Linked DNA regions of Macaca mulatta. The main gene of each other region encodes a partner of the protein of the gene in region 5 in a complex. Links are inferred from orthologs where the notes say so. Each region holds a gene or a part of one and is shown on either strand. Other genes may lie near its edges. The genes, in order: HTATSF1, RBMX2, EFTUD2, GPKOW, SF3B2, DDX46 and DHX16.

Region 1 (3,332 bases), on a different chromosome or scaffold from region 5:
AAATTCTCAAAATAAAAACAGACTTGAAGTATAGGAACTCTTCTCTATCTAGAGGGTTACACTTACAGATACTGTAATGAAAGAGCACCAATGCAGTTTATTTTAATGCTTCTAATTTCTGAGAACAGCTTCTTAATGCTACATCAAAAGTAAATTCATCAATACTGAATTTGGAAAGCATAATCAAGAAAGACCCACAATTTTATTGGGACTACACAACTTTGCACAGTGCTAGGCACTAAGATTCTAAAAAAACGAACAACTGAAGCATGCATGAAGTTCTTCAACTTCAGGGCATCCATGAACCTCCCCATTTTTTTCTGGGAAGAGGTCCTCTAACTTGAATTAACTTCTAAAGGGGCCCAAGGAGGCTAACAGTACAAGGCAGAATTCTAATCTGGTTCTCTAGATTTTTAATAATAATGGGAGCTGTAGACCACAGGAAATTCACTTTTGCACATCTGAGAGTCAATTTTAATGGAAAGAGGGTAGAAAACAAACAAGAGTTAATTTGCAAGGGCTGGGCAGAAAAAGCAAATCCAGAGGGTTGTTTTCTGAGTTTAGGAACATGTTCTGGTTTATAGAGAGGAAATGGAGACATATGTGCTACTACCAGCGGGAAGCAAGGAGACTACAAAGGGATTCTTCAAGTCCTCAGAAAAGCCAACCGTCAGTATAAATAAAGCGGTATCAAGAATTTACAATGCAATTTACCTCAAGTCCAATTTTCAGTTTCTGCGTATTATCAACTTTTTATTGATGAATATCACAAACTTCAATCAATGCTTTTAAAAATATTATTCTGCATGCATTTAACAAATCTGACAAAAGAACAAGTATCCAGTTTACTTGCATTGTAACTATGACATTTTAACTAAACAATCAATTAACATATATTTAAAACCATTAGGTACAGGTAACAATGAAAAACTTCAATGCTTTAATCTGATGGCATCCTACCACTATGCACATGTTCATGTAACACTACTAGTAATTACCCTGAAGCACAGGCAAATGTAGATGGAGGACTCTCCCTAAAAAGCAAGTTTAAGGGATTAAATATCATCATCATCATCGCTACTGAGAATAAAGCTGCTGCCAGTGGATAGGGGCCCTTCTTCAACACTCCCAAAACCACCCAAAGTCCCCCTCTCATCAGAATCATCAAACAACTTCTCATTGGAATCTTCCTCCTCATCAAACAACTTCTCATTGGAATCATCATCTTCGAACAACTTTTCGTCAGCATCTTCAACTTCCTTTCCGTCTGCATCTTCATCTTCCTTTTCATCTGACTCTTCAAACAGCTTTTCATCTGCATCACCTTCTTCCTCCTTTTTACCAGCAGCTTCAAGCCCCTTTTCATCTGCATATTCTTCATCCTCTTTCTCATCGGACTCATCATCAAATACTTTTTCATATGTATCATCCTCTTCTTCCTTTTCATCTGAATCTTCGTCAAACTCTCTCTCAGAGCCTTCCTCATCTAACACTTTTTCAGAGCCGTCATCTTCAAATTCAGAGTTTTCGGAGTCATTTTCCTCTAACTCGTTGTCAAGAACATTTTCATGAAGCTCTTTTTCAGAGCCTTCCTCGTCCAAATCTTTCTCGAGACCATTTTCTTCAAATTCTCTTTCGGAGCCATCTTCAGACTGTTTTTCAGAGCAGTCTTCGTCAGACTCTTTCTCTGAGTCATCTTCTTCGGACTCTTTTGTGGGGCCAGCCTCCTCTTCAGATTCCTTGTTGGGGTCATCTTCAGATTCCTTTGCGAGGCCATTCTCTTCACAATCATTTTTGAGTGCCTTCTTTTTAGACTCTTTTTTAGGACTACCCTCTTCAGATCCTCTTACGGGATTGCCTTCTTCAGACTCTTTTTGGGGGCAGCCACCTTCGAACCCTCTTTTGGGGCAGCCCTCTTCAGATTCTTTTGCAGGGACGCCTTCTTCGGCTTCTTTTTCGGGGCTACTTTCTTTAGCATTGTTTTCAAAAGCACCTTCTTCAAATTCTCCCCCATCTTCTGTCTTTTCAAACTTCTTCTCATCTATAGGTTCTTCAAACGCCATTCCAGTTGCAGTTTCTTGAGCATTCATTTTAGATGTGCTGGGGTGCTCTGAAAAATGCCTTGCTCTAGAAGGCCCTGCCCTTTCGGAAGCAGAGACAGAATCTGAACGCCTAAGGCCTCTGTTGGCCTCCGGAGCATTGAGGAAAGCCTCCCATCCTCTCAGCCTTTCCTCCCTTTCTCTTGAGGTTTCCTCCACCTGTGGATAAATGGAGACTGCCATTAAAATAAGTTTTAGGCAAAAGGTTACTTTTCTGAACATATCTAATATTGATGAAACAACCTTAATTTTATAAAGCATCTCTTCTTAGGAAAGCAATACCCTGTCTTCAGTTTTCAAAACTTTACATCTTGATTTACTAGAGTTGACCTTAAATAAGATCACTTGAATAAAGGCCAAATATCACAGTACTGCAGAAATGTCTCATCTCTTAAAAAGTTAATATTTGAGCTCTGTCCATACTTCACAGCATACAAAGGAAGAGTAACATTTGGTTGAATGTGTTCTTTTCTTATCACTATTCTGAACAAGCCTCAAACTTTCAGACTTATAAACTGAAAAACTCAAATAGTTCTTTATCTTCTGAATGCAAAATATTATTTAAAAGAAGCACTGTAAATAATAAAGAGGAAGAGTAAAAAATTAAAACATATAAATAAATAAAAAGAAAAGAAGCATTGTTACATTAAATAGGTTAAACCAAACCCAAAATTTAGATCTGAAGGATCAGTATTTGTTGGTAATGAAACAACGTGTGTGTCCCTGACAAGCTGCAGAATTTACCTGATAATCTGTAGTCCCATCCCATGCCTGGGCAGTGATTTGACGGCCACCAAACCATCTTCCATCCAGAGTTTGAATACAATAATCAGCTTCCTCTGGATCCCGAAAGGACACAGAGGCCACACCATCTGGGTGCCTCTAGAAAGACAAGAAAGAAAAAAAAGGAATGAACGGTAAGATTAAAAATAAAACACATACATTTCACAAAGTAGGTAAGTAGTAGTGTTCTCTCTGATACTCTGAAGTAAAAGACTTTATGTATGAAGTCTTTCTTCCCTTTTATCCCAGCCAGTCACATGCAGTCAGCTGCTTCTTTACCTTAATCTTACCTAGCAAGAACCAAGCACAATGTCCTTGGAAATGTTTCTGCTGACATCCCTGTCTAATGAGAAGCAGGACAGTATAATTGTTAAGAGTGTAAACTCTGAAGTCATATTGCCCTGGGATTAAATCCTGGCTCTGTCAGTTACTAGATGAACAACCTTGGGC
Region 2 (4,608 bases), on a different chromosome or scaffold from region 5:
AACCAGAATAGAGAATAGAGAATTAGAATAAACAAACAAGCACACGTGCTAGCTGATCATCACTCAATGCAAGTAGAACTAAACAGCTCCAAGAGGGAAGGCTGAGTAGAAGTACACAAAGGGGTAGAAATTATAGGCTGCACCTGCTGTGAACCTTGCAACATCCACAAGTTGAAGGAAGCAATCTTTGTCCCTGCCAGGGCCCTCCACTCGTGTGGGTTGCCCAGGTTCTCTATCACAGCCTTCTTCTCACGGGTATTGCCCAATTCCTTTCCCATGGCTTGCTGCCCCATAAGTGGCCCAACCACTCAGCCAGGGCCCTCTGTCCATGGATGGCCCTACCATCCTGCCATAGCAATCCCTCTGCCAGTGTATGCTACCTGTGTTTGCTTGGCCAGCCCCTTTTGCCATGGTCTGCTACCTGTACATGCTGTCCAACTTCTCTGAAACAGTACTATGCTCTGAAGGCCTACAAAACCCAAATGTAGTGGTCCTTTGCACCTGTGCCAAGATCCTCTGGCCCTGTGGACTAACTGTGCTGTTTACCTCTGGGGTTGCAGGCCAGCTGCCCAGCCCCTCTCCTACTAGCTGCTACTACCAGTATGAGCCACCAACACCCTCTCCCACCAAATGCTGCTGCCAACACCTCAGCAGAATGAAGAATATACAGATCTCCTATTCATTCTTGTTCCTCGTCAGGCTGTGATTCTCAGCCTCCAGGTAGAGATTGGCTTTGCTCACTAACCTTACATTCATTGAGAATCAAAGAAAGCAAACTACAACCTTCTTTCTGTTTTTCATCCCAATTCCTCTGTGGTTTGCCCCAGTCGTATGATGCCACACAGGCAAGGACCAGAAGGGCCCTGTGACCATGGGTTACCCCTAGTTTGCAAGAGCCCAAGGAGGCGTACCAATATGGAACCTTCCTGAGGGTTCCAGTCTGTTCCAGTCTAGGCCCAGGCTGAACAAACCTCAGTGAAAAACAACAGAAATAGACTAGAATCCCCAAGATGGCCTCCCAAATTAACAAACCTCTTGGATCTCCCACAGGAGAACATTCTAGAACCATGTCCTGGGACTGATCTAGACTAGAGCAGAAGCTCCAGCCCTCCCCATGCAGGGACGCCATTCAGCCTAGAGTGAAAATAAGTGGTTTTTGTGATGCCACAAAATGCATTACAGAAAAAAGTACTCTGTCGACTCAGGAGGCAGGAAATGAAAGGGGACTTACTGTGAGAACACACAGATGATGTCCCCTTCAGTCAGTTCATAAGGAAGCCCTCCTAGAAAAGAAAACCACATTTCAGTTCCACCAACATTTACCAAGTGTTTACTACGTACCATGCACTAGGCCAGGCACTAGGGGTGCAAACAGTAAGCAACAGGCCCTGCCCTTAAAGAAATCAAGTCTGGGCTGGGCACCATGGCTCACGCCTGTAATCCCAGCACTTTGGGAGGCCAAGGCGGGTGGATCACCTGAGGTCAGGAGTTCGAGACCAGCCTGGTCAACATGGCGAAACCCCGTCTCTACTAAAACTACAAAAAAAATTAGCCGGGCGAGGTGGCGGGCACCTGTAATCCCAGCTACTCAGGAGGCTTAAGCAGGAGACTCGCTTGAACCCAGGAGGCAGAGGTTGTAGTGAGCCGAGATCACGTCACTGCACTCCAGCCTGGACAACAAGAGTGAAACTCCAACTCAAAAAAAAAAAAAAAAAAAGAAAGAAAGAAATCAAGTCTGATGCAATGACAGAAGTACATGTAAGGTGCCAGTAGAACAGGAAAAGGAGTGACTAATTTTGAGTGGAAGTCAGTGTCACCACTAACAAAAGTAAACTGATCACTCAGTCCTCCTGGCACCCAAAATCCTATGGGCAAAGCAGATAGTTTCCATCACAAACCTCTGCTTCCACAAACATGTTGAATTCATCTGCTCATTACCCACAAATTTACAGCTATGATACAAAATTAGTCTACATATGTCATGATTAACCCCACCTACACATAGACAAAGGTTATAAAGACACTGTTAAGCATTTCCTAGGGAATAATTTCCCTTCCAAATGTTTCTTTCCTCATCTGTAAGATGGGGATATTAGCAGGTAACTCGCAAGACTGTTATAAGAGTTAAATAAAACGATGCATATAAAGTGCTTAGCACAACGTTTTTACAATAACCTCTTTGAAGCATCAAACTTGTACAATTACTGGTTGTGATATAAAGTGAATACAGTAATGGTAGTGTGGCCATGGTCAGAAAGCAGGAGCTAGAGGAGCAAAGTGAATTCTGCAAGGGAAGGGGAATGGGGGAGGGCGGTGGTAGCAATATGGGGCTGTGGCTAAGACCATGAGTTCTAGAAAGCTATAGTTCTGCCTGTTGCGGTTATTAGCTATGTGACCTTAAGGAAGTCCCTTAACTTCTCTGCACCCCAATTTCCTCAGCTGTAATAACGGGTCAGGGGGTGAGAGAGAAATAACAACAGTCCCTGAACCTTAGCACAGCAAATGGCAAACAGTAACTCTCATGAGCACTGATTTGGCTGGGAAGGAAAACTAAAAATGGGGCAGAAAAAAAAAAAAAAAAAAAAAAGATGGAACACGGATTCCCGGGCAGACAGCAGATGGATATAAAGGAGGGCAATGAATGTAAGCAGGAGTGAAGGGTGAAAATGCTGAAATAGTCGGACACCGAGCAGGAGAATCTTGGGAGCACTGCGGAAGAAAGATGTGCACCTCACCCAGGAAGATCCAGGCGCTGTCCTTGTACTCGGAGTGCCAGGACACTTTATCGGCCACCCCAAGCTGGACCTCTCGTTCATTCAGCTCGTTGATCAGCTTCACCTTAGTTAAAGGACTTCACGGTGGCGGGGGGGAGGGGAGGCAGAAAAGCAGACAAGTAAATGCTAACCGGCCGAAGCTGAAGAAGAGCAAAACAAGGGGACGAGCTGTGCTAGTCCCCGCGCCTCTCCCGCCCCTCGACCCCGCAGACGCTCTACCACCCCAGCCCCGGTAGACCACCCTCAGCGGCCCGCTGCTCGTTCCTCAAAAGGAAGCTGACGCCTTACTTCATCTCCGCGGGCTCGCGCTCAGCATTCAGGAATCAGCGCCCGGGAAAGGCAGCGCCACGCATGCGCGGCCCCGGCGCCGGTGGCTCGTCGAGTCGGTGACCTCGCGCCGGAAGAGCTGGGGCGTACCGGGGCGTGGCGCCTGCGCACTAGAAGCCTTCCGCGTTCTTTGCAGTTACCTCTTGTAGAAACGGTTTTTCTCTAATTTTTCGCTTTTTCTCCTCTGTGAAATGGGGTAAAGGCACGAGCCTGGGCTGTTGCAGGACCCCCAGCTCTTGAACGATATCGGAAACTGGTTAGATTAGCTATAAATATTTGCTGAATGAACGGAATAAGCAGCCTGATGTGGCGACTTTAGTCTCAGCCCTCGCTCCCAGTCCAGAGTCCCACTTGGACCTTCGCTCCTAGTCAGTTGCTCACGCACAGACCCATCAAAGCATCCCTGTCATGGCAGAAAAGTGAAGAAGATAGGTGAAAAGGTAAATCTTCTGTTGTTCTTATCCCAATACATAGGCAACAGACCAGTGTGCCTCTATAGGCTGAATTGAATACCTACAGATTTGCATGAGAGCCGCTGCACTTACTCTTTTCCATAGGCTCTCTCCTAGTTGAGCAGGAGACAGAAATTAATATTGTTAAATTAATAGCTAGCAAGTGAGCAGATGATGTACTGTATGATACTAGAGTATGTGCTAAGCAATTTACATGTATTGTCTCTCCACCCTCACAACAACCCAATGAAGCAGATAAAATTACAATTCCTGGCCGGGCGCAGCAGCTCATGCCTGTAATCCCAGCACTTTGGGAAGCTGAGGTAGGAGGATTGCTTGAACTCAGGAGTTTGAGACCAGCCTGGGCAACATAGCAGAACCTGTCTCTAAAATAAAGGAAAAAGGGGGGGGCCAGGTGTGGTGGCTCACACCTGTCATCCCAACACTTTGGGAGGCTAAGGCAGGTGGATCACCTGAGGTCAGGAGTTCAAGACCTACCCAGCCAACATGGTGAAACTCTGTCTCCTCTAAAAATACAAAAATTAGCTAGGCATGGTGGCACACGCCTGTAATCCCAGCTACTCGGGAGGCTGGGGCAGGAGAATCACTTGAACCTGGGAGGCAAAGGTTGCAGTGAGCTGAGATCGCACCACTGCACTCCACCCTGGGCAGCAGAGCGAGACTCCTTGTTTTAAAAAAAAAAGAAAGAGAAAGTAAAAGAAATTTCCACCCTCGTTTTGTAGAGGAAGAAATGAGGCTCAAATGAATAAATTAACTAGAAAGGTACTAGAGTACCTGCACCCAGTAGGTCAGGTTGATTCAATCAGTCCTTACTGAACATCTAGATTTGTCCTGTGCAGCTAAGGTCTGTAGACAGGAGTATCAGGGTGGGTCCTCTGCCCTCAAGGAGCTAATATTATAATTAAGGGGACAAGATATATTTGCCTGATAGATTTCAACCAGAAATATCTAGAAACCAGTGGAAGAGATGATTAACATATAATATGTGATTTAACCCATATTGACAGTTTGAATCCATTTTGCACATGTCCACA
Region 3 (3,862 bases), on a different chromosome or scaffold from region 5:
TTAGGATGAAATGACATTTTTTCTGTGTATGCTGATGGGGATGAACTGGTAGACAGGGAAAACTGATGGCACAGGAGAGAGAGGGCAGAACTGCCAAAGGTCTTGAGAGGTGAGAAGGGATGGGATTAGTTTCTAGTAGACAGAAGCATGAACAAATAATTCATAAGAATGGAAAGGAAGGCATCGTATATGAGTACAGGTGTAGGCAGGTGGGTAGAGGGACTGCTGGGTGCTTGCTTTCCTTCACACAAATTACAGCATGCCAACCTCTTCCTTAAGAACACAAAACCCTCCAGTGGTAAGACTGGCTACCTCCTACCATCTTACACTCTACTTCTACTAAACTGGCCTAAGATTACATTAGCTCTTTTGGCAGCCACATATACCTTACTGGTGGTGGCTCCAAAATAGCTATCAAGCCAGTTTTCTACTGCCCCATACTGCTGAATATATTATGAATCTAACTGCAGGATTTTATATAATCATTTCTGACTGCCTGTAATTACCTCTACCGAGTCTACAGTAGCTCAACAAGTCTAAAATAAAACTAAACCAGTATTCTTTTATCATTGTTTTTTAAAATTTTTAATTTTTTTTATTTTTTTGAGATGGAGTTTCACTGCAATCTCTACCTCCTGGGTTCAAGAGATTCTCCTGCCTTAGGCTCCGGAGTAGCTGGGGCTACAGGTGCATGCCACCATGCCCAGCTAATTTTTGTGTGTTTTTTTTTTTTTTTTTTTTTTTGAGACGGAGTCTCGCTCTGTCTCCCAGGCTGGACTGCAGTGGCCGGATCTCAGCTCACTGCAAGCTCCGCCTCCTGGGTTCACGCCATTCTCCTGCCTCAGCCTCCCGAGTAGCTGGGACTACAGGCGCCCGCCACCTCGCTCGGCTGGTTTTTTGTATTTTTTAGTAGAGACGGGGTTTCACCGTGTTAGCCAGGATGGTCTCGATCTCTTGACCTCGTGATCCACCCGTCTCGGCCTCCCAAAGTGCTGGGATTACAGGCTTGAGCCACCGCACCCGGCCAATTTTTGTATTTTTAATAGAGATGGGGTTTCATCATGTTGGCCAGACTGGTCTCAAACTCTTGACCTCAGGTCATCCGCCCACCTCAGCCTCCCAAAGTGCTGGGATTACAGACATGAGCCAATGCGCCCAGTCTTAGAATGGACATCTTTCTTTCCTGTCTCCATTACCAAAATCTATGCATCTCTGTTATATACCTCAATATAATTAAAAAAAAATAAATCTGTCCAGGCGCGGTGGCTCACACCTGTAATCCCAACACTTTGGGAGGCCAAGGCATGTGGATTGCTTGAAGTCAGGAGTTCAAGACCAGCCTGGACAACATAGTGAAACCCCGTCTCTACTAAAAATACAAAAAACATTAGCCAGGCATGGTGGCACACACCTGTAATCCCAGCTACTTAGGAGGCGGAGGCATGAGAATCGCTTGGATCTGGGAGGCAGAGGCTGCAGTGAGCCAAGATGGTGCCACTGTGCTCCTGCCTGGGCAACAGGGTGAGGCTGTCTCAAAAAAAAAAAAAAAAGAGAGAGAGAAAAGAAAAGAGGGGGCTGGGCATGGTGGCTCACGCCTGTAATCCCAGCACTTTGGGAGGCCAAGGCGGGTGGATTCTTGAGCTCAGGAGTTCGAGACCAGCCTGGGCAACATTTTGTCTCTATGAAAAATAAAAAAAATTAGCTGGGCATGGTGATGCATGCCTGTAGTCCCAGTTATTTGGGAGGCCAAGATGGGAGAATCACTTAAGCCCAGGAGGTGGAGGTTGCAGTGAGCTGAGATTGCGCCACTGCACTCAAGCCTGGCAACAGAGTGAGACCTTGTCTTAAATAAAAATAAGTAAGAGCGAGATGAAAAGAGCAATATATTTGCTTTACCTCATCAAGATCTTTGGTCTCTCTACCCAATTCATCGTCATCTTCATCAGAATCAAGCTCTGGTCCAATATAATTCCCAAACTCATCATATAAGTCGGTGTCCATGATGCTAAAATTCAAGGAAAGGAGTTAGATTCTGGCAAAGTAATCATGGCCTCCATGTGGTGGCCCCACCTACCTAGTCTTATAGTTGGCCATACCCCTTTCAGAACATGCCTCCTCCCAGTGACATCAATCTACTGAAGGCTCCTCCCAAAGACCAGTACTTTACCCAAGTCTCTGCCCTACATGTCTCTATTTATGTAGTCTTCCCTCCACTTTTTTTTTGTTTGTTTGTTTCAAGCAGAGTTTAATAGGCAAGAAGGAAAGAAGACAGAAGGAAGAAGCTCCCCACTACAGAGATGGGGCGGGGTGCTCCAAAGCCAAAAGAGGAGGTCCCCTTCCTCCACTTCTTTAATACCAAATTTAATTTTAAAATAACTCAATGTCAAAAAGTGGCAAGAATAGTACAAACAACTTACTTTTTCCTAAATTATCTGAAAGTGAGCTGTTGACACAGTGGCTCATCACCTCCTAATACTTTAGTGTAAGGGTGTGCAAACTCTGGCCTGTGGCCAAATCTGGCCTCTCCAGCTGTTTCTGCATGGCCCTCTAGCTAAGAATGCTTTTCAACATTTTTAAATTGTCAAAAGAAAAATATTTCACAATACATGAAAATTAATTATAAGGAATTCAAATGTCTGTGTCTACTTAAAAAATTTCATTGGGAGGCCTGGCGCAGTGGCTCACACCTGTAATCCCAGCACTTTGGGAGGCCAAGGCGGGCAGATCACCTGAGGTCAGGAGTTCGAGACCAGCCTGGTCAACATGGCAAAACCCTGTCTCTACTAAAAATACAAAAATTAGCTAGGTATGGTGGCATATGCCTGTAATCCCAGCTACTCAGGAGGCTGATGTAGGAGAATCCCTTGAACCCAGGGGGTGGACGTTGCAGTGAGCTGAGGTGGCACCACTGCACTCCAGCCTGGGAGACAAAACGAGACTCCATCTCAAAAAAAAAAAAAAAAAAAAAAAAAAAAAAAAAAGGTTCACTGGAAAACAGCCATGCATATTCATTTACATCATCTACAGTTACCTTTACACTGTAATAGCAGAGTTGAGTAGTTGGGACTGAAACCATATGGCTCACAAAGCCTAAAATACTATCCAGTCCTTAACAGAAAAAGTTTGCCAACCTCTCCCTCACCTTGTGTGATTCCTACAAACAGGAACATTCTTCTACATAACCACAACACAACCATCAAAATCAGAAAATTAATATTCACACATTACTACCACCTAATTTACAGATCCCATTCAAGTTTCACAGATTGTTCCAATACGTTTCACAGATTGTTCCAATAATATCTTACACGCCCAAGGATCCAATCCAGGATCATGTTTGCATTTGGTTGTCATGTCTTTAGTCTCTTTGGATTTACAATCTTCAGTCTTTCCTTCCAAGGACTGTCGTGACATCCTTAAGGATGTCCCTTGATTTGAGGTTGTCTGATGTTACCTTATGATAATATTCAGGTTATGTGTTTTAGGCAGGAATATCATAGAAGTGATGCTGTGAGAACATGTGAGAACTGTGGTTCTCAAAGCATTTCCTATCAGGTGATACATGATTTCAATTTGCCTCATTGGTGGTAACGTTAACTTTGATCACTTCATTAAGGTGATGTTTGCCAGGCCTCTCTATTGTAAAGTTACTCATTTTCCCTTTGTAAGTAAGTAGTGTTTTGTGGGTTTTTTCCACTTCAATTACTGAAATTCTATTCAAAGAAACAGTTCAAATGCCACCACCTCCTTCAAGCTTTCCTAGCTCCTCAATTTCTCATTCCCCTATCCTACTAGAGCTTTTTGCACCTTTATCAGTGTTTAATTTTGTCTTAAATAGTAGTTAACTGGCTGGGTGCAGTGG
Region 4 (3,862 bases), on a different chromosome or scaffold from region 5:
TGGATCCTTTAAGCATTTAATCCTCAGGGACTTGTGGCATATGGCACTCTCTTCCTTTTAGCTGGGAACTGAGGCTCACAAAGGCCAGCAAGTGGTCCCGGGTTACTGAGTGAGGCAGTGGGCCAAGCAGACCTAAAAGACTAGGACTCCCAGCCTTTCTACCTCAAACCCAATTATTCCTCCATCTGACCCTCGGATCAACCTTCCCTACTGCCTGTTTTGGGCTCCCGGGATATCTTGGTTCCTTACCTTCCCATAGAGGCCTCGGTGAGGGCCAGAAAGAACCACCACAGCTCCTCCTGGCACCAGCCCTTGAGGCTGATCTTCCTTATCCTTCTCTTGCTCCTCATCTGGCCTTGGCATGTGGGAGGGGCCGGTGGGGGTCAAGGCCTGGGCCTCAGACAGGTTGGCACCCAGCCCTAACCCCTTGGGCCTCAGTGAGTTGACACGGGGCTTCACTACTCTGCAGGGAGAACATGGGTTTGTTGGAGAGGATGCAATAGTCTTCAACACCTTATTTACCTCCTCTCCCTGCCCAAACCCCCACCCCCACCATTGACATTTTCTTTTCTTTTCTTTTTTTTTTTTGGAGACGGAGTTTTGCTCTTGCCATCCAGGGTGGAGTACAATGGCTCAATCTCGGCTCAATGCAACCTCCGCCTCCTGGGTTCAAGCGACTCTCCTGCCTCAGCCTCCCAAGTTGCTGGGGTTTACAGGAGCATGCCACCATGCCTGGCTAATTTTGTATTTTTAGTAGAGACAGGGTTTCACCATGTTGGTCAGGCTGGTCTCGAACTCCTGACCTCAGCTGATCCGCCCTCTTTGGCCTCCCATAGTGCTAGGATTACAGGTGTGAGTCACCATGTCTGGCCCCCATCGGTATTTTCAAGGTTGCCCTTTCCGATCTCATATTAGGACTGTTTTTGACCTACAGAAACAGCAATTTCATTTGGTTCGACCTAATAACATGCTGCATATACCATCTATTACATAATATCTACAGTGAGATCAGAGGCAGATCACTGTAACCAAATATACTATTTCTACAGGGGAAATCATATGAATATTCACACCAAGCAGGAGAAACGGACTATAAAAACTCAACATGGTTGGGCACGGTGGCTCATGCCTGTAATCCCAGCACTTTGGGAGACTGAGGTTGGCAGATCACCTAAGGTCAGGAGTTCAAGACCAGCCTGGCCAACATGGGGAAACCTCATCTCTTCTAAACATACAAAAATTAACCAGGCGTGCTGGTGCATTCCTGTAATCTCAGCTACTCAGGAGGCTGAGGCAGGAGAATCACTTGAACTCAGGAGGTAGAGGTTGCAGCGAGCTGAGACTGCACCACTGCATCCCAGCCTGGGTGACAGACAGAGACTCCATCTCAAAAAAAAAAAAAAAAAAAAACTCAACGCCAATTCAGGTCATAGTTGGCTGCCAATGGGTTATGAAAAAAATGTTTGGTTTTCACAATTCTTGAGTTTGCAATTGCGAAGAAAGGGTTGTAAGTCTGCATGACAATAGCAAATGTTTAGTCTACGCTTTCTTGGGGTCAGGGCCTACTGTATGTGCTTTACGTATATAGTTTATCTTTTTTGTTTTTTTTTTTTTGAGATGGCGTGTCACTCTGTCGCCCAGGCTGGAGTGCAGTGGTGCGATTTCGGTTCACTACAAGCTCCACCTCCTGGGTTCACGCCATTCTCCTGCCTCAGCCTCCTGAGTAGCTGGGACTACAGGCGCCCGCCACCATGCCCGGCTAATTTTTTGTATTTTTTTTTTAGTAGAGATGGGCTTTCACCGTGTTAGCCAGGATGGTCTTGATCTCCAGACCTTGTGATCCACCCGCCTCAGCCTCCCAAAGTGCTGGGATTACAGGCACAAGGCACTGCGCCTGGCTCTAATTTCTTTCTTTTTTTTTTTGAGACGGAGTCTCGCTCTGTAGCCCAGGCTGGAGAGCAGTGGCCGGATCTCAGCTCACTGCAAGCTCCGCCTCCCGGGTTTACGCCATTCTCCTGCCTCAGCCTCCGGAGTAGCTGGGACTACAGGCGCCCGCCACCTTGCCCGGCTAGTTTTTTGTATTTTTTAGTAGAGACGGGGTTTCACCCTGTTAGCCAGGATGGTCTCAATCTCCTGACCTCGTGATCCGCCCTTGTCGGCCTCCCAAAGTGCTGGGATTACAGGCTTGATCCACCGCGCCCGGCCTAATTTCTTTTCTTAAAATGAATTAATCTTTTGTAGAGATGGGGCCTCCCTATGTTGCCCAGGCCAGTCTCAAACTCCTGGGGTTAAGTGATCCTCCTGCCTCAGTCTCCCAAAATGCTGGGATTACAGGCATGAGCCACTACCTGGCCTATGTGTATAATTTCATTTAACTCTCACAACAGACCTGTGAAGTCAGTACTATTACCCCCATTTTTCAGATGAAGAAATTGATGTCCCTAGAGGCAGACTTTATATAAATGGGATCCTATTAGAGTTTCAAAGGGCAAATGGGAGTTTAAAACAGTAGTGGAAGGGGCTACTGAATTAGTTAGGGCGATAATGTATCCTCCCTCCCTGCCTGGAGTGGTTCTGGTTTGGCAGTGACCCTGGGGATCTTGATTGCAGCCTGATCTGTCTGTCCCCTCGCCCCTATCCCAGAACTCACTGATTGAAGGTGCGGCCGATGCCCTCGCCAGGTTTCCAGCCCATGCCCCGCAGCATGGCCAGCCCATAGGCCTCCACGGGGACCGCCTCATAATTAGCCTCCTCTGGCACCTACAGGTTCAGGTAGAGGAAGGAGGGTCAGGCTTTGCTTACACTGGGTCCTCTGTTTGAAGTGCACTTGCTGCCACCCACTGGGAGACCTGCTACGCATCTTTTCCAATCAGCTCAAGGGTGTTTTGATTTCCTCTTTCCATCCCTCACTGTACTCCTCCATGTTCAGTCCTTCAACAAATAGAAAGCACCTAGTCTATGGCAAGTACTGTTCTAGGTACTGGGGATGAAGCTGTGAACCAAACAGACAAAAACCCCTACCCTTGCAGAGCTTCTGATCTAGTTGTGGAGACATACTATAAATAAAACCCAGAAAACATGATATGTCAGGTGGTGACGTATAGAACAAGAAAGCAGGGTAAGAAGATGCAGAGGGATGGAGAGGGAGTGCCTCTGGGTTGACATTTAAGCAGAGATCAGGAAATGATAGCAGAGGGAGCCATGAGGATATGAGAAGAAAGTGTCCCGAGCTGAAAGCACAGTTACAGCAAAGGCCCTGAGGCTGGACAAGGCTTGGTATGTGTGAGGGGTAAAAGTCACCATGACTGAAATGGAGATAGTGAGAGTAGAGAGCAGAGAAGGGTGGGGAAGAGATCAAATCAGGAGAGCTGGGCAGGAGTCAGAGGACCCTGAGCCAGGTGGGAGCCATAAGAGGGACCAGTGAGGAAATTACTCTAATAGTCCAGATGAGAGATGCTCGTGGCGGTGAGAAGTGGTCAGTTCTGGGTGTCATTTTGAAAAAAGATGAAGGATTGTGCTGGCAGAGTGTATGGGGCATGAAATAAAGAGGGGAATTGAGGATGACTCCAAGGTTTTCTTTTTTTTTTTTTTTTTTCTTGAGATGAAGTCTTGCTCTGTTGCCCAGGCTGGAGTGCAGTTGCACAATCTCAGCTCACTGCTACATCAGTCTCCTGGTTTCAAGCGATTCTCCTGCCTCAGCCTCCTGAGTAGCTGTGATTACAGACATGTTCCACCATGCCCAGCTAATTTTTGTAATTTTACTAGCGATGGGGTTTCGCCATGTTGGTTAGGCTGGTCTTGAACTCCTGATCTCAGGTGATCCGCCCACCTCAGCCTCCCAAAGTGTTGGGATTACAGGCTT
Region 5 (4,417 bases):
ATAGGAAAGCCAAGGCCAAGGCCTGGTGGAGGTGGTGGGGGAGGTGGAGGAGGCTGCAAAGGGGGGAGTCCCAAAGGTGGTGGTGGCATGGGAATTCCAGGGAGCTGTGGAGAAAATATGATCATAAAATTAGGAAACATTTATCTACTCATCTGCACATATCTGGGGGATCTACTTTGAGTCAGGAGCTGGGATTCTAAGTCAAATGACACATAGTTCCTAATTCGTAAGAGAGAATGCTCCATAGCCCTATAAAGATATGAGAATGTTAACTTCCGGCACCAACCACAATAAGCTATCCACTCTCTCCAGAAAGATATCCTGAATACAGACTCTGCATACAATTCCAGGAGACTCAAAGACACCTCTGAGGCCATCTAGGGACTCCTCATTCTACACACAGAAATCAATAGATCCTAGGTCAGAGCCACTGCTTTAGAGAAAAAGAAGCAAATCCTGGATCAGAAGCAACATGGAAATTGAGAGGACTTAAATAAACAGGAACCACTGTACCAGGGCAATGCAAACCCCAATGACTGCTAAATGCAAGGAGTATGAAATCAAATCAGGGAGCTCTCAATGTCTCACAAAAGAACATGGGAACTGTTCCTGGGGCAGGCAAAGAAGAGGGTGATTGCTTCCAGCTGGGTAGGGACAAGTCGGGCTTCCTTGTATTCAAGCTGTTTTGTTTTTTGTTTTTTGTTTTTTTTTGAGATAGAGTCTGTCACCCAGGCTGGAACGCAATGGTGCAATCTCAGCTCACTGCAACCTTTGCTTTCCAGGTTCAAGCAATTCTCGTGCTTCAGCCTCCCAAGTAGCTGGGATTACAGGCGCCTGCCACGATGCCCGGCTAATTTTTGTATTTTTAGGAAAGACGAGGTTTCACTATGTTGGCCAGACTGGTCTCAAACTCATGACCTCAAGTGATTGCCCGCCTCGGCCTCCCAAAGTGCTGGGATTACAGGCGTGAGCCACCACGCCCTGCCTCTCTCTTTTTTTTTTTTTTTTTTGAGACAGTCTTGCTCTATCGCCCAGGCTGGAGTGCAGTGGCCTGATCTCGGCTCACTGGCTCACTGCAACCTCCGCCTCCTGGGTTCAAGAGATTCTCCTGCCTCAGCCTCCCAAGTAGCTGGGATTACAGACATGTGCCACCACGCCCAGCTAATTTTTGTATTTTTAGTAGAGACAGTTTCACCATGTTGGCCAGGCTGGTTTCAAACTCCTGATCACAGGCGATCCACCCGCCTTGGCCTCCCAAAGTGCTGAGATTACAGACATGAGCCACCATCCCCTGCCTCTTTTTTTTCCCCCTATTTTTTTATTTTATTTTATTTTATTGTAAGTTCTGGGGCACACGTGCAGGATGTGCAGGTTTGTTACATTGGTAAATGTGTGCCATGGTGGTTTGCTGCACCTATCAACCCACTGCCTAGGTATTAATTCTGGCGTGCATTTGCTATTTTTCCTGACAATCTCCCAGCCCCTGCCCCATCACCCCCCAACCTTTTTTTTTTTTTTTTTTCAGAGAAGTAAAGTCTCATTCTGTCACCCAGGATGGAGTACATGGAGTACAGTGGCGCAACCAGAGCTCATTGCAGCCTTGAACCTCAGGGCTCAAGCAATCCTTGAGCCTCAGCTTAGACAGTAGCTTGGACTTTATAGGCATGTGCTGCCGTGCCCAGCTAATTTTTAAAAATTTTTTGTAGTAACAAGAGTCTCACTGTGTTGCCCAGGCTGGTCTCGAACCCTGGCTTCAAGTGATCCTCCCATCTAAGCATCCCAAAGTGGTGGGATTACGGGCATGTGCCACTGCACCTGGCCACAAGCTGAATCTTGAATGACAGGTAGAATTTGGAGAAGCAGACAGTGGAAAAGGAGGCAAGTATCAGCATCAAAGAGAGAACTGAAGAGCTCACAATTCTGTCATGGCAGTACCTCCTTGCCCAGTCAGTCAGTTGCATCTCAAGTACACTGCAATTGAGAGGAAGGGCTACCCTGAACAGATGGAATCTTTCTATTCCCCACTCAGGTCAGGCGAGATGTGCAAGGGTGTGACGTCTCACACATGCACGCGAACACCGAATCATCATGCTCATGAACTACAAAAGGATCAGCAGATAGAATCTTAAAAAATGGAAGAACCTCCCTACCTGCGCTGACATGGGAGGTGGAGCGGCTTTGTCCCCATCTTCCCCTCTCAAAACCGGCCGATTCAGCACGATGCCAGTCTGCAAAAGAGAAAGGACTCTAGGTCAGTCCAAAACTAGCTGTTTCACTAATCGACGATCTCTCCCAATTCATTTAACAAAACGTATCCAGTGCCTGTCTGCCAGCGCTCCGGCTGGGCACTGAAGAGGACCAAGATGGATACAAGAAATTACAACTAAGCTGGCAAAGGCAAGAACAAGCCAAAAAGGGCAAGCCTCCGCCTTGCTGTGCCAAGATAAAGAAAGAATGAAGACCGAGCCGTGATGGGGTATATAAGGTCTCCTGGAGAAGCTCGGCCTATCCTGACGTCCCGCCGCCAACACCTACCTGGCGGGTGTAGGTCTGCAGCCGCTCCACCAGCTCCTCGCGATTACCTGCGGGGCAAAGTACACGATCAATGGAGCAGGCAAGCCCGGCCAGGTCAGACCCCAGCTGCCCGCCTCCGCCCCTCGCGCCCGGGTCTCCCGGGTAACCAGGCTCCGCTTCTCCGCAGGCCCGTAAAGGTCCCTCGACTTTCTGTGTTCCTCACCCTGGATCGGAGCTCCGATCTCTGCCAACTTGGCCTGAAGCTCCTGGGCAGCCCAGGCGCCATAGTGGCCTGGAGGTGGCGGCGGCGGCAGCTGCAATTCCGCTTTGGGAGGCTCGGGATGCTCGGACGCCATCTTGGCCGCAGCAAGGCGCGCGACCAACCCGGAAGCTCGGGCCGGCCTCTGGGCCCACTTTCCGGAACTTCCGGCGGCGCCGTACGCCACGTCCTCTCTGGTTGGGAGGCGACGCGCACGGAGGCCCACCCGCTGCGGTACGCTAGGCGACGGGATTCGCCGCAGACGCCCCTTTCTCCAGTGGCCCCTCGGCCGTCTGGTCGCTAGGCCTCCTGGGAGTTGTAGTGCGCAGGTCTCGGTCTCTGCGGGCCCTGCGCCAGGCTACGGCCCAGAAGGCCGGCGGCGGGCCGGAGGGCGGGGCTGCGGGGAAGGCTGGCCCTGCCCGGAGGGAGTGTTTTCTGCGCCTCACCTGCGGGAGCGCAGGCTGTCAAGCCTTCCGGCCCGGCTCCCCGGTCAGAGCCTCGGACTCTTACGCTCCCAGGGAGTCCCGAGAGACTCATTTCCCCGGCGGCTCCGCGTTGCGGGCGCCAAGCGGGAGGCTGGAGCCAATGCCCGGGATAAAACAGTGTCTGATTGTCTGCCCGCCCACCCCCGGCCCAGGCCCGGATGAATGGGCTGAAAGGGGATCCGAGCCAGGAGAGGAGCGGGCCCGCCCGGGCTGAGCTCCAGCTGCCGACCTGGGGGAAGGGCGACACTAAAGCCCCCTTTTCCACCTTCCAAGCCGGCTCAAATGTCGTCTTCACTAAGCTTTCTCCCGCTTTCCTTTCCTTTCTTAGAGTTCCCATAATACATTCGAATCTCCACCGTTTGATAAGTCTTTCTTGCCCTTTCTTCCTACCTGCATCCCAAAAATGTGAGCAGGGACTTGATCTTTTTCAGTCTCGCATCACCTGCCGTTCAAGAGGCGCCCAATAAATGATTACTGGGAAAAAGGAACAATGTTTCTGGTGACAGTATTTGTGTCTTTTAGTCTCAAAAATAAACTCAGGCCCCTTTTCCCTCAGCCGCACCTGCACTGGGGGCCCACCTTGCCGCCCACTCCCCACCCCAACTCCCCGTGGTCTTTGGGGACAGAGGCAGATACTGGCAGGGATTCTTGCCTGCCTAGCATCCACCTCTCGCTGTCCCACACCATCAATTCAATTTCTCTCCCCACCTCTGCCACTAGCTCTGCCCTGTCACTAACAGCCAGGCTCACTGTGTGTGTTTTTATGTGTATTGAGTACGGGAATGGGGAGACTTCAGTGAAATGGTCTCATTTTCCCCCAAACATCCCCTTCAGATCTTTTCTCCAGCTCCATTTTGCCAACTGCCCCCCGTGGAGAAGAAGCTGGGAACAGGGGAAAAAAGAATGGGGCACCAGGTCTGGGGAAGGTGAGGTTTGGGAGAGACAGGGAAAAGGATTGGGTTGAGAAAGGTTGGCTCACATCCTAGCACTGGGTGGGAAGTCCTCTTCCTCCTACCCAAACCTTGACCTTTCCCCTTTGCATCAATATCACTATGGCAGGCTCCTGCTGCCACTCCCAGAGGGGAAGCCAAACCTGGAAAGGACAGTAAGGAAGACAGAACAATGGTGCCCTTCCCTCCAGCTTGTCAGCCCACTCAGG
Region 6 (3,862 bases), on a different chromosome or scaffold from region 5:
CTGAGGCAGGAGAATCGCTTGAAGCTTGAACCCAGGAGGCGGAAGTTGCAGTGAGCCGGGATTGCGCCACTGCACTCCAGCCTGGTGACAAAGCGAGACTTGTCTAAAAAAAATATATATATATGTGTATATATATATATAAGTTGCATAATTTTTTTTTTTTTTTTTAAGACAGAGTCTCTCTCTGTCACCACGCTGGAGTGCAGTGCCACAATCCCAGCTCACCGCAACCTCTGACTCCCGGGTTCAAGCGATTCTCCTGCCTGAGCCTCCAAAGTAGCTAGGACTACAGGTTAGCTGGGACTATAGGCATGCGCCACCACACCCAGCTAATTTTTGTATTTTTAGTAGAGACGGAGTTTCACCATGTCGGCCAGGATGGTCTCGATCTCTTAACCTCGTGATCTGCCTGTCTTGGCCTCCCAAAGTGTTGGGATTACAGGTGTGAGACCCTGTCCCAGCCAAGTTGCATAATTTAACCAGCACTTTGGGAGGCCAAGGTGGGGGGATCACTTGAAGTCAGGAGTTTGAGACCAACTTCACCAACACGGCGAAACCCTGTCTCTATTAAAAATACAAAAATACAAAAATTGGCTGGGTGTGGTGGCGGGTACCTGTAATCCCAGCTACTTAAGAGGCTACGGCACAAGAATCGCTTGAACCCGGGATGCAGAGGTTGCAGTGAGCCGAGATCATGCCAATGCATGCCTGAGGGAAGAGGTGGGAGGCTCTGTCTCAAAAAAGAAAAAAATAAATAAAAAATTTAAAAAGCCAGGGATGGTGGCTCACGCCTGTAATCCCAGCACTTTGGGAGGCTGAGGCGGGCAGATCACCTGAGGTCAGGATTTCAAGGCCAGCCTGGCCAACATGGGGAAACCTGGTCTCTACTAAAAATATTTTAAAAATTAACCAGCCGTAGTGGCGCACACCTATAGTTCAGCTACTCAAGAGGCTGAGGCAGGATAACTGCTTGAGCCCGGGTGGCTGAGGTCACAGTGAGCACAGTGAGATCGCACCACTGTACTCTACCCTGGGCAACAGAGCAAGATTCTGTCTCAAACAACAAAAAAAAGCAGTTGTATAATTTAAAGGGTAAATTTTGATATGTAAATTATCTCAATAAAACAATTTTTTTAAACGTAAGTTGTTTTTAGAGTAAAAATGTAACTCAGGGAGACATTGGTGTGAAAGGACTATTTTGAGCAGCAAGACACAGAAAACATAAACAACCACCAACCACTTACTTTTTGAGGGAATTTAAGATCTTCATGGAAATTCCACACTGGACCCAGGATTTAATTGGTTTGGGACAACCTTTTCCTTTAACTGTAATGCCCTCCATTTCCAATCGAAACACATTTACCTCTACAAAACAAAACCCAGATTAAAAGTTCTTAAATATTGTTCTATTGGTGTCTTCTACTTTTCAATTAGGCATAAGATGAAGAATCTTTAACTCTTATGCCAGGCCCAGTGGCTCACACCTGTAATCCTAGCAACTAGCACTTTGGGAGGCAGACTCAGGCAGATCCCTTGAACCCAGGAGTTGTAAGACCAACCTGGGCAACATGGTGAAACCCTGCCTCGACAAAAAGTACAAAAATTAGCTGGGTGTGGTGGCACATGCCTGTAGTCCCAGTTACTCAGGAGGCTGACATAGGAAGATCACCTGAGCCTATCAGGGGGATGTGGGGTGTGGTAGGAAATCAAGGCTGTAGTGAGCCATGACTGCACCACTGCACTCCAGCCTCCAGCCTGGGCAATGGAGGGAGAGACCCTGTCTCAAAACAAAACAAACAATTTTTAAAATTTTTGTATTTTTTTTAGTAGAGACAGGGTTTCACCATATTGGCCAGGATGGTCTCGAACTACTGACCTCATGATCTGCCTGCCTAGGCCTCACAAAGTGCTGGGATTACAGGCGTGAGCCACTGCATCCGGCCTACTTTTCCGTATTTTAGTAGATGGGGTTTCACTCTATTGCCCAGGCTGGTCTCGAACTTCTGAGCTCAAACAATGCGCCCACCTCAGCCTCCCAAAGTGCTGGGATTACAGGTGTGAGCCAACGCACCTGGCCAATTAATTTTTGATCATTTTAAAAATATTTCGAAAACACCCTCCTTCATCAGACACTATCCACATTTCTCTTGAGTAATGTGAAATGTATCCTCTTCTGTTAGTAAATGAAAAAATGGAATTTTACCTTCTTGAGACATTTTTGCTAGTTCTGGAACTTCGACATAGAAGTTTTTCCTAAATGGCTCATATTCAATTTTTCCATGATCAACTGGTTCTAGAAGCTTTCGCTGTTTTGTTTGATACCCTGTAAGGGCTGTCTGAAGATCAACTTCTTCCTCCTCTGAAGAATACTATAGTTTAAAAGAAAAAAATTAAAGAGGTAAGCTCATTACTATTTTCCTCTTGTGGGAAGCAATACTCCTAGCTTTTCAAATCTTCCTCTCCTAGAAACTACTCTAATTTTTTTACTTTCTGCAATACACTGTTTGACCCACAAGATTTTTATAGTGCTCCAGCACACTTAAACCTCTTAATTTTAAAATCACCTCAAATGATGTATGTCATCTTGAATTAGAAATACATCAAGAAGCTCCTGAAGAATTTTTCGACTTACTTTTCTTTTTCTTTGCCCTTTAGAGAGTTAAAATGCCAATATAAAGCTAAAACAGTAATGATCAGAGACGGCTCTAATAAGGTTTTGCTACTGTTTTTACTATATAAATCTTTACAATACGTGTTAATGGAAAGAAAGTTAATTCATTCTGTTACTTCATTTTTTTCTCTCCATATTGTATGCCTGAAGTGAGCTGATGAGGGGCAGAAAGATCATACAGTTAGGAATGAAAGACATCAGAATGTTCCACTAAATAGATATTTAACTAGATACTATACTACTACTAAGAATAGCAAGAATGTCTCCCAATTCTGGGAATTTCTCCTAGTTCACATAAATGAAAAGCACATCTCCATGAATGCTTTCTAATAAATGCTTCCAGGATAGTATCATAAACAAAGTCAAAATTAATGAAAAATCACCTCCATGGCATCCTGGTCATTCTCCATCAGCTCACCTTTCTTCTTATCAGAATCCACAACTGCTTTTTTGGTTGTCACAACAGTGACAACTTTTGTGACCGTTGGCCCAGACTTCTAAAATAAAGAAGAAATATAGAATATTTTGCAAAGCTGAAACGCAAGTTATATGACAGCCGAAGCCCACAATAACTGACAAAATTTCGTCTTTAGTTTCTTTTTTTAGTGACATGGTCTCCATCACCCAGGCTTGAGTGGTGTGATCGTAGCTCACTGTAACCTCAAATTTCTGGGTTCAAGGAGTCATCCCATCTGTCCTCCTGAGTTGCTAGGACTATAAGCACATATCACCAAACCCAGTTAATTTTTTTTGCTTTTTGGCAGAAAGAGTCATGCTATGTTGCCCAGGCTGGTCTTGAACTGCTTGGCTCCAGTGATCTACCAGCCTCAGCCTACCAAATGTTCTGGGATTGCAGTTGTGAGCCAGGACATTGAGCCAACTGAGTTATTAAATGAAAATAGAAACAACAGACTGTTTTTCTCATTAATTTGTATAAATTTTTAAGCATAATATAATTATATTTTATAATACATCCACTTATCATTTACTGTATTATAGATAATTCTATATAATATTATATATACTTTATTTATTGAGATAAAGTTTTGCTCTTGTCACCCAGGCTGGAGTGCAATGGCATGATTTCAGCTCACTGTAACCTCTGCCTCCCAGATTCAGGCAATTCTCCTGCCTCAGCCTCCCCAGTAGCTGGGATTACAGGCGCCCGCCACTATACTCAGCTAAGTTTTG
Region 7 (3,961 bases), on a different chromosome or scaffold from region 5:
AGAAATGCCCAAGGATCGTTAAAAAATATTGATGCCAAACACTGATTTAATTGAGACGGGACAACCTAAGCACTGAGATGTTTGTAAGTTGCCCAGGTGATCTAATATGTAGCAGAATTTAGAGACTACTCGTTTAAACAAATGCTTGAATTCAGCTTTGGGACCAGTCACCTTCTCCCTCAGTAAGCCTCCCTGTATTCCCCAGGACCTATGATGCCTACTCCACTTTCTACCTGAATTCCAGTGGCCTCATTTGTCGCCATCGTCTAGATAAAGTGAGTCCTAGGTAGGGCTGGGTGGGGTGAAGGGTAGAACATCTGTGTGCCTCCCGCAACTGGCATTAACCTTTCTCCTTGCAGTTGATGCCTTCACACTCACCTCCAACACCTGTGAAGAAGCTGCTAGTGGGAGCCCTGGTGGCCCTGGGGCTGTCAGAGCCAGAACCTGACTTAAACCTGTGTTCCAAGCCCTGCTTTGAGTGGGGGCAGCACTGAAGACTGCTAAGCCCAAGAGAAGGAGGTGGAGGCAGCCAAGAATCTCAGGAGCCAGCTTCCTCCCTTTCTCTCCTGCCTGCCTTTCCATCTCATGCTGTGTAAAGCTGCTCTGTAATTTAACTTGTAAATAATAAAGTTTAACTGACTATATGAGATAGAATTTCATGTATCACTTTCTCTAGATCCCAAATATTCCCACAAGCTTTATTCCAAAAATAATTTTATTTAATAGGTATTAAATAATGTATAGAAGGAAGAGGAGCTGGTGTCACAGGTTCTGTTTACGTCCTTCTCTTACCCTAGCTCTTCTCGTGTTTTGCCTATTTTTTTGGGCATTTTCTTAGCATGGGGATCTTCTAGCTCCTTGGCCTTATAATAATGGGGAGCCACCTCCAGAAGCCAACTGCTCTCAATCTCCAGTACCTAGGAGGAGAGAGAAAAGATCAATGGAGTTCCCTTCTTTCCAACATAGATCTTTTGTGTATTATTATTTTTTTCTTAAATTGAAACAGGGTCTTGCTCTGTTGCCCAGGCTGGACTGCAGTGGCGTATCATGGCTCACTGCAGCCTCGACCTCCCAGGCTCAAAGCAGTCCTTCTGCCTCAGCCTCCCAAGTAGCTGAGACTACAGGCACACATCACAGTGCCCCATTAATTTTTTGTATAGATGGGGTCTCAGTATGTTGCCTGGGCTGATCTTGGCCTCCCAAAGTGCTGGGATCCTGCCTTGGCCTCCCAAAGTGCTAGGATGGTTTACAAGAATGAGCCACTATGCCCAGCCCCAACCTAGATCCTCATGTGTGTGGTCAAAAGTTATCTTTCCTCTTTGACTGCAGGGCTAGGGGTAAAGGTGCCTGGCTCTATTATTATATATCCAAAGGGCAGATACACCTCTATGTGTTATTCAAGATACCAAATAAGCTATTCCTAAGAAAAGTCTAGAACATGCCGGGCGTGGTGACTCACGCCTGTAATCCCAACACTTTGGGAGACTGAGGCGGGCGGATCATGAGGTCAGGAGTTCGAGATCAACCTGGCCAACATGGTGAAACCCTGTCTACTAGAAATACAAAAATTAGCTGGGCGTGGTGGTGGGCACCTGTAATCCCAGCTGGAGGCTGAGGCAGGGGAATTGCTTGAAACTGGAAGGCAGAGATTGCATGAGCTGAGACTGTGCCACTGCACTCCAGCGTAGGCTACTAGAGTGCGAAACTCTTGTCTCAAAAAAAAAAAAAAGAAAAGCCTAGAACATAGACAAAGTACTCTGTGAGACGAGACACTCTGCTTTGTTCATTATAGCCCCAGCACCTATACAGTAGCCATTCAAATATGTATTGAATAAATGTCTAGTTCTCAGATCTTGGAAGATGCTGACACCTGTTAGAAAGGATGTCTTTGGGCTGGGCACAGTGGCTTACAACTGTAATCCCTGCACTTTGGAAGGCCGAGGCACACATTTAAGACCAGCCTGGCCAACATGGTGAAACCTCATCTCTACTAAAAATACCAAAAATTAGCCAGGCATTGAGGCTTGCACCTGTAATCTCAGCTACTTGGAAGGCTGAGGCATGAGAATATCTTGAACCCGGGAGGCAGAGGTTGCAGTGAGGCTAGATTGCGCCACTGCACTCCAGCCTGGGCAATAGAGCGAGACTCAGTCTCAAAAACAAAAACAAAACAAAGGATGTCTTTCTATTTTACCCTACCTTCCTCTTTCTGTACCAGTCCCAGCAACTTGAACCTGGGTTCTTAGCTTGTCAGGATACCATCTCTCTACATAGTCTCCACCTGTGTGGGCACAGGATGTTGTCCTCACCTGTCTCATGAACTCTTTGGTAGTCAAGACAAGTTCGTGGTAGAGCAGCCAGCGTGGCTGTTGCTCAAAGAGGGAGGAGTTGGGATGAATGAAGACCGTCTGCTGCTGTTTTACTGTGCGGTAGCCGCTCCGAGTCAACCGTGCCGTGTGGTAAAAGTAACCAGCAGTGATGGCCTAAGGAGCAGGCAGGAAAGAAAATCAATGGAAAAGGCAGACATCTGGGGACCCTAAGAGCTCACTACCTTTTTAATTCCAGCTTCAGGAAAACTAGAGAGGTAAGGAATGCATGAAGAACTTCCCAGGAATGAACCTCCAGTGGTCTGGGGAAGAAAGGGCCCTGGGAGGACACCGTCATACATAAGGGGAAGAGGGCATGCTCTCAGGCTGGAGGAACTGCTGCATGCCCCTAGAGAAGCTTGCTCCTGGGAAGGTACTGGGGGTGGAGAGCAGGAGGCTGAAGAAATGCTGACCTTGCGTACACGGATATAGTCCCCCTGGCAGGAACTGAGACCAACTTCCACACGTTCCAAGAGCCCTTCCAGCTGTTCCCGCACATCCCGGGCTCGGCGCATTGATCTGAACTGTACAAAGTTCTCATAGCACCACTGGGAAGAGTAACCACTCTCGGCCCACTGGGAAAAGGATTAAAAAGAAAGGAGAGACAGTTAAGTATACAGTAGGACTAAAGTCCCCCGGTGTCTCTCATTCCCACTCACCCAAGCCCAGTGACCTGTGTGTAAACATTTAGCAGAACCAGGTGGTCACCACCAGGGAGAAAGAAGTTGACACGGGCGTTGTCAGCATGGACGACCTTGTCCTTTGGTCGGTAGAAGATGGAGTTGTTGACAGAGAGCATGGCAGCCACTGTCAGGATCTCCTCTGAACAGCTGTACCTGGGACAGGAAGGGGAAAGCATGAGTTCAAAGCAAGACACATAGGAACAGATATGGTGGAGTGGGGAGTGATCACTGTGTGATGGATGTTCCCTCATGTGGAAAAGGCTGGTTGGCCTAATGGCTACAAAGCAGCCAGCAGATAGATTCTGGCAGCAGCCTGGGGGTCAAGGAGGTAGGGGCCATAGATGAAACACAGTCACAAAGGAGGGACATCCATGGAGGCAGGAGCAGGAAACACTGGGGACTTCTGAGGCTTCTGCAGAAAGTGTGCATTCACTATGTGCATTTGGAAAAGATCTCTGACAGCAGAGGAATGGCATTTAAAGGTCGTCCCTCCACAGCTACATTAAATGTTTTAGTTTCAAACCTTAGGAACGAGTAAGTTCCTCAAGGGGCCAGGCACAGTGGAATCAAGGATAGGATCAAGTGTCTTACCCTCAAAAGAGGGCAATCAGAGTTATCTAATACTTTCTTATGTGTTAAAGGATAATATGATGAAGAGAAAACGACAAAGAGGACCCCAGAGACAAGAGGAGGCCTGGCCAGTATGTGTGCTGGGAGACCAGGTGGAGGGGAGGGCTTACTTCTCAGAGGCTAAGATCATTTTGGACAGCATGGGGTCCACCGGCAGCTCTGCCATCTTTCGACCAGACTAGGGAGAGGAGAGAGAGAGTTGAGCTCAGTCCTCCCTCAGGTTTCCCACTACTACTACAGGGGCCCCTGGAGCCATCCTGACCCCTATCATCCTGCCCCAAG

Evidence for each region.
Region 1: SF3B2 (region 5) and HTATSF1 share a complex: the UniProt entries of both Homo sapiens proteins name them as parts of the 17S U2 SnRNP complex. The link is inferred for Macaca mulatta from reciprocal best matches to the Homo sapiens genes SF3B2 and HTATSF1.
Region 2: SF3B2 (region 5) and RBMX2 share a complex: the UniProt entries of both Homo sapiens proteins name them as parts of the minor spliceosome. The link is inferred for Macaca mulatta from reciprocal best matches to the Homo sapiens genes SF3B2 and RBMX2.
Region 3: SF3B2 (region 5) and EFTUD2 share a complex: the UniProt entries of both Homo sapiens proteins name them as parts of the minor spliceosome. The link is inferred for Macaca mulatta from reciprocal best matches to the Homo sapiens genes SF3B2 and EFTUD2.
Region 4: SF3B2 (region 5) and GPKOW share a complex: the UniProt entries of both Homo sapiens proteins name them as parts of the minor spliceosome. The link is inferred for Macaca mulatta from reciprocal best matches to the Homo sapiens genes SF3B2 and GPKOW.
Region 6: SF3B2 (region 5) and DDX46 share a complex: the UniProt entries of both Homo sapiens proteins name them as parts of the 17S U2 SnRNP complex. The link is inferred for Macaca mulatta from reciprocal best matches to the Homo sapiens genes SF3B2 and DDX46.
Region 7: SF3B2 (region 5) and DHX16 share a complex: the UniProt entries of both Homo sapiens proteins name them as parts of the minor spliceosome. The link is inferred for Macaca mulatta from reciprocal best matches to the Homo sapiens genes SF3B2 and DHX16.

Annotation. Positions count from the first base shown.
Region 1 is NC_133426.1:142,836,264-142,839,595, reverse strand, and holds the end of HTATSF1 (17S U2 SnRNP complex component HTATSF1), read right to left. Parts: intron 2,982-3,332; coding exon 2,844-2,981; intron 2,259-2,843; coding exon 1,056-2,258; 3' UTR 726-1,055; downstream 1-725. UniProt on the Homo sapiens protein: Component of the 17S U2 SnRNP complex of the spliceosome, a large ribonucleoprotein complex that removes introns from transcribed pre-mRNAs.
Region 2 is NC_133426.1:136,863,338-136,867,945, reverse strand, and holds the start of RBMX2 (RNA-binding motif protein, X-linked 2), read right to left. Parts: upstream 3,083-4,608; 5' UTR 3,068-3,082; coding exon 3,063-3,067; intron 2,852-3,062; coding exon 2,736-2,851; intron 1,284-2,735; coding exon 1,232-1,283; intron 1-1,231. UniProt on the Homo sapiens protein: Involved in pre-mRNA splicing as component of the activated spliceosome. As a component of the minor spliceosome, involved in the splicing of U12-type introns in pre-mRNAs.
Region 3 is NC_133421.1:69,266,597-69,270,458, forward strand, and holds part of EFTUD2 (116 kDa U5 small nuclear ribonucleoprotein component), read right to left. Parts: intron 2,702-3,862; 5' UTR 2,002-2,701; coding exon 1,897-2,001; intron 1-1,896. UniProt on the Homo sapiens protein: Required for pre-mRNA splicing as component of the spliceosome, including pre-catalytic, catalytic and post-catalytic spliceosomal complexes. Component of the U5 snRNP and the U4/U6-U5 tri-snRNP complex, a building block of the spliceosome.
Region 4 is NC_133426.1:49,201,024-49,204,885, forward strand, and holds part of GPKOW (G-patch domain and KOW motifs-containing protein), read right to left. Parts: intron 2,761-3,862; coding exon 2,651-2,760; intron 464-2,650; coding exon 250-463; intron 1-249. UniProt on the Homo sapiens protein: RNA-binding protein involved in pre-mRNA splicing. As a component of the minor spliceosome, involved in the splicing of U12-type introns in pre-mRNAs.
Region 5 is NC_133419.1:8,360,769-8,365,185, forward strand, and holds the start of SF3B2 (splicing factor 3B subunit 2), read right to left. Parts: upstream 2,896-4,417; 5' UTR 2,871-2,895; coding exon 2,738-2,870; intron 2,583-2,737; coding exon 2,536-2,582; intron 2,229-2,535; coding exon 2,151-2,228; exon of another isoform or gene 2,029-2,150; intron 1,415-2,028; exon of another isoform or gene 1,286-1,414; intron 722-1,285; exon of another isoform or gene 666-721; intron 153-665; exon of another isoform or gene 141-152; coding exon of another isoform or gene 105-140; coding exon 1-104. UniProt on the Homo sapiens protein: Component of the 17S U2 SnRNP complex of the spliceosome, a large ribonucleoprotein complex that removes introns from transcribed pre-mRNAs.
Region 6 is NC_133411.1:143,701,973-143,705,834, reverse strand, and holds part of DDX46 (probable ATP-dependent RNA helicase DDX46), read right to left. Parts: intron 3,169-3,862; coding exon 3,055-3,168; intron 2,370-3,054; coding exon 2,204-2,369; intron 1,366-2,203; coding exon 1,245-1,365; intron 1-1,244. UniProt on the Homo sapiens protein: Component of the 17S U2 SnRNP complex of the spliceosome, a large ribonucleoprotein complex that removes introns from transcribed pre-mRNAs.
Region 7 is NC_133409.1:152,391,561-152,395,521, reverse strand, and holds the end of DHX16 (pre-mRNA-splicing factor ATP-dependent RNA helicase DHX16), read right to left. Parts: intron 3,858-3,961; coding exon 3,790-3,857; intron 3,203-3,789; coding exon 3,040-3,202; intron 2,942-3,039; coding exon 2,780-2,941; exon of another isoform or gene 2,744-2,779; intron 2,528-2,743; exon of another isoform or gene 2,484-2,527; coding exon 2,310-2,483; intron 918-2,309; coding exon 789-917; downstream 1-788. UniProt on the Homo sapiens protein: Required for pre-mRNA splicing as a component of the spliceosome. Contributes to pre-mRNA splicing after spliceosome formation and prior to the first transesterification reaction.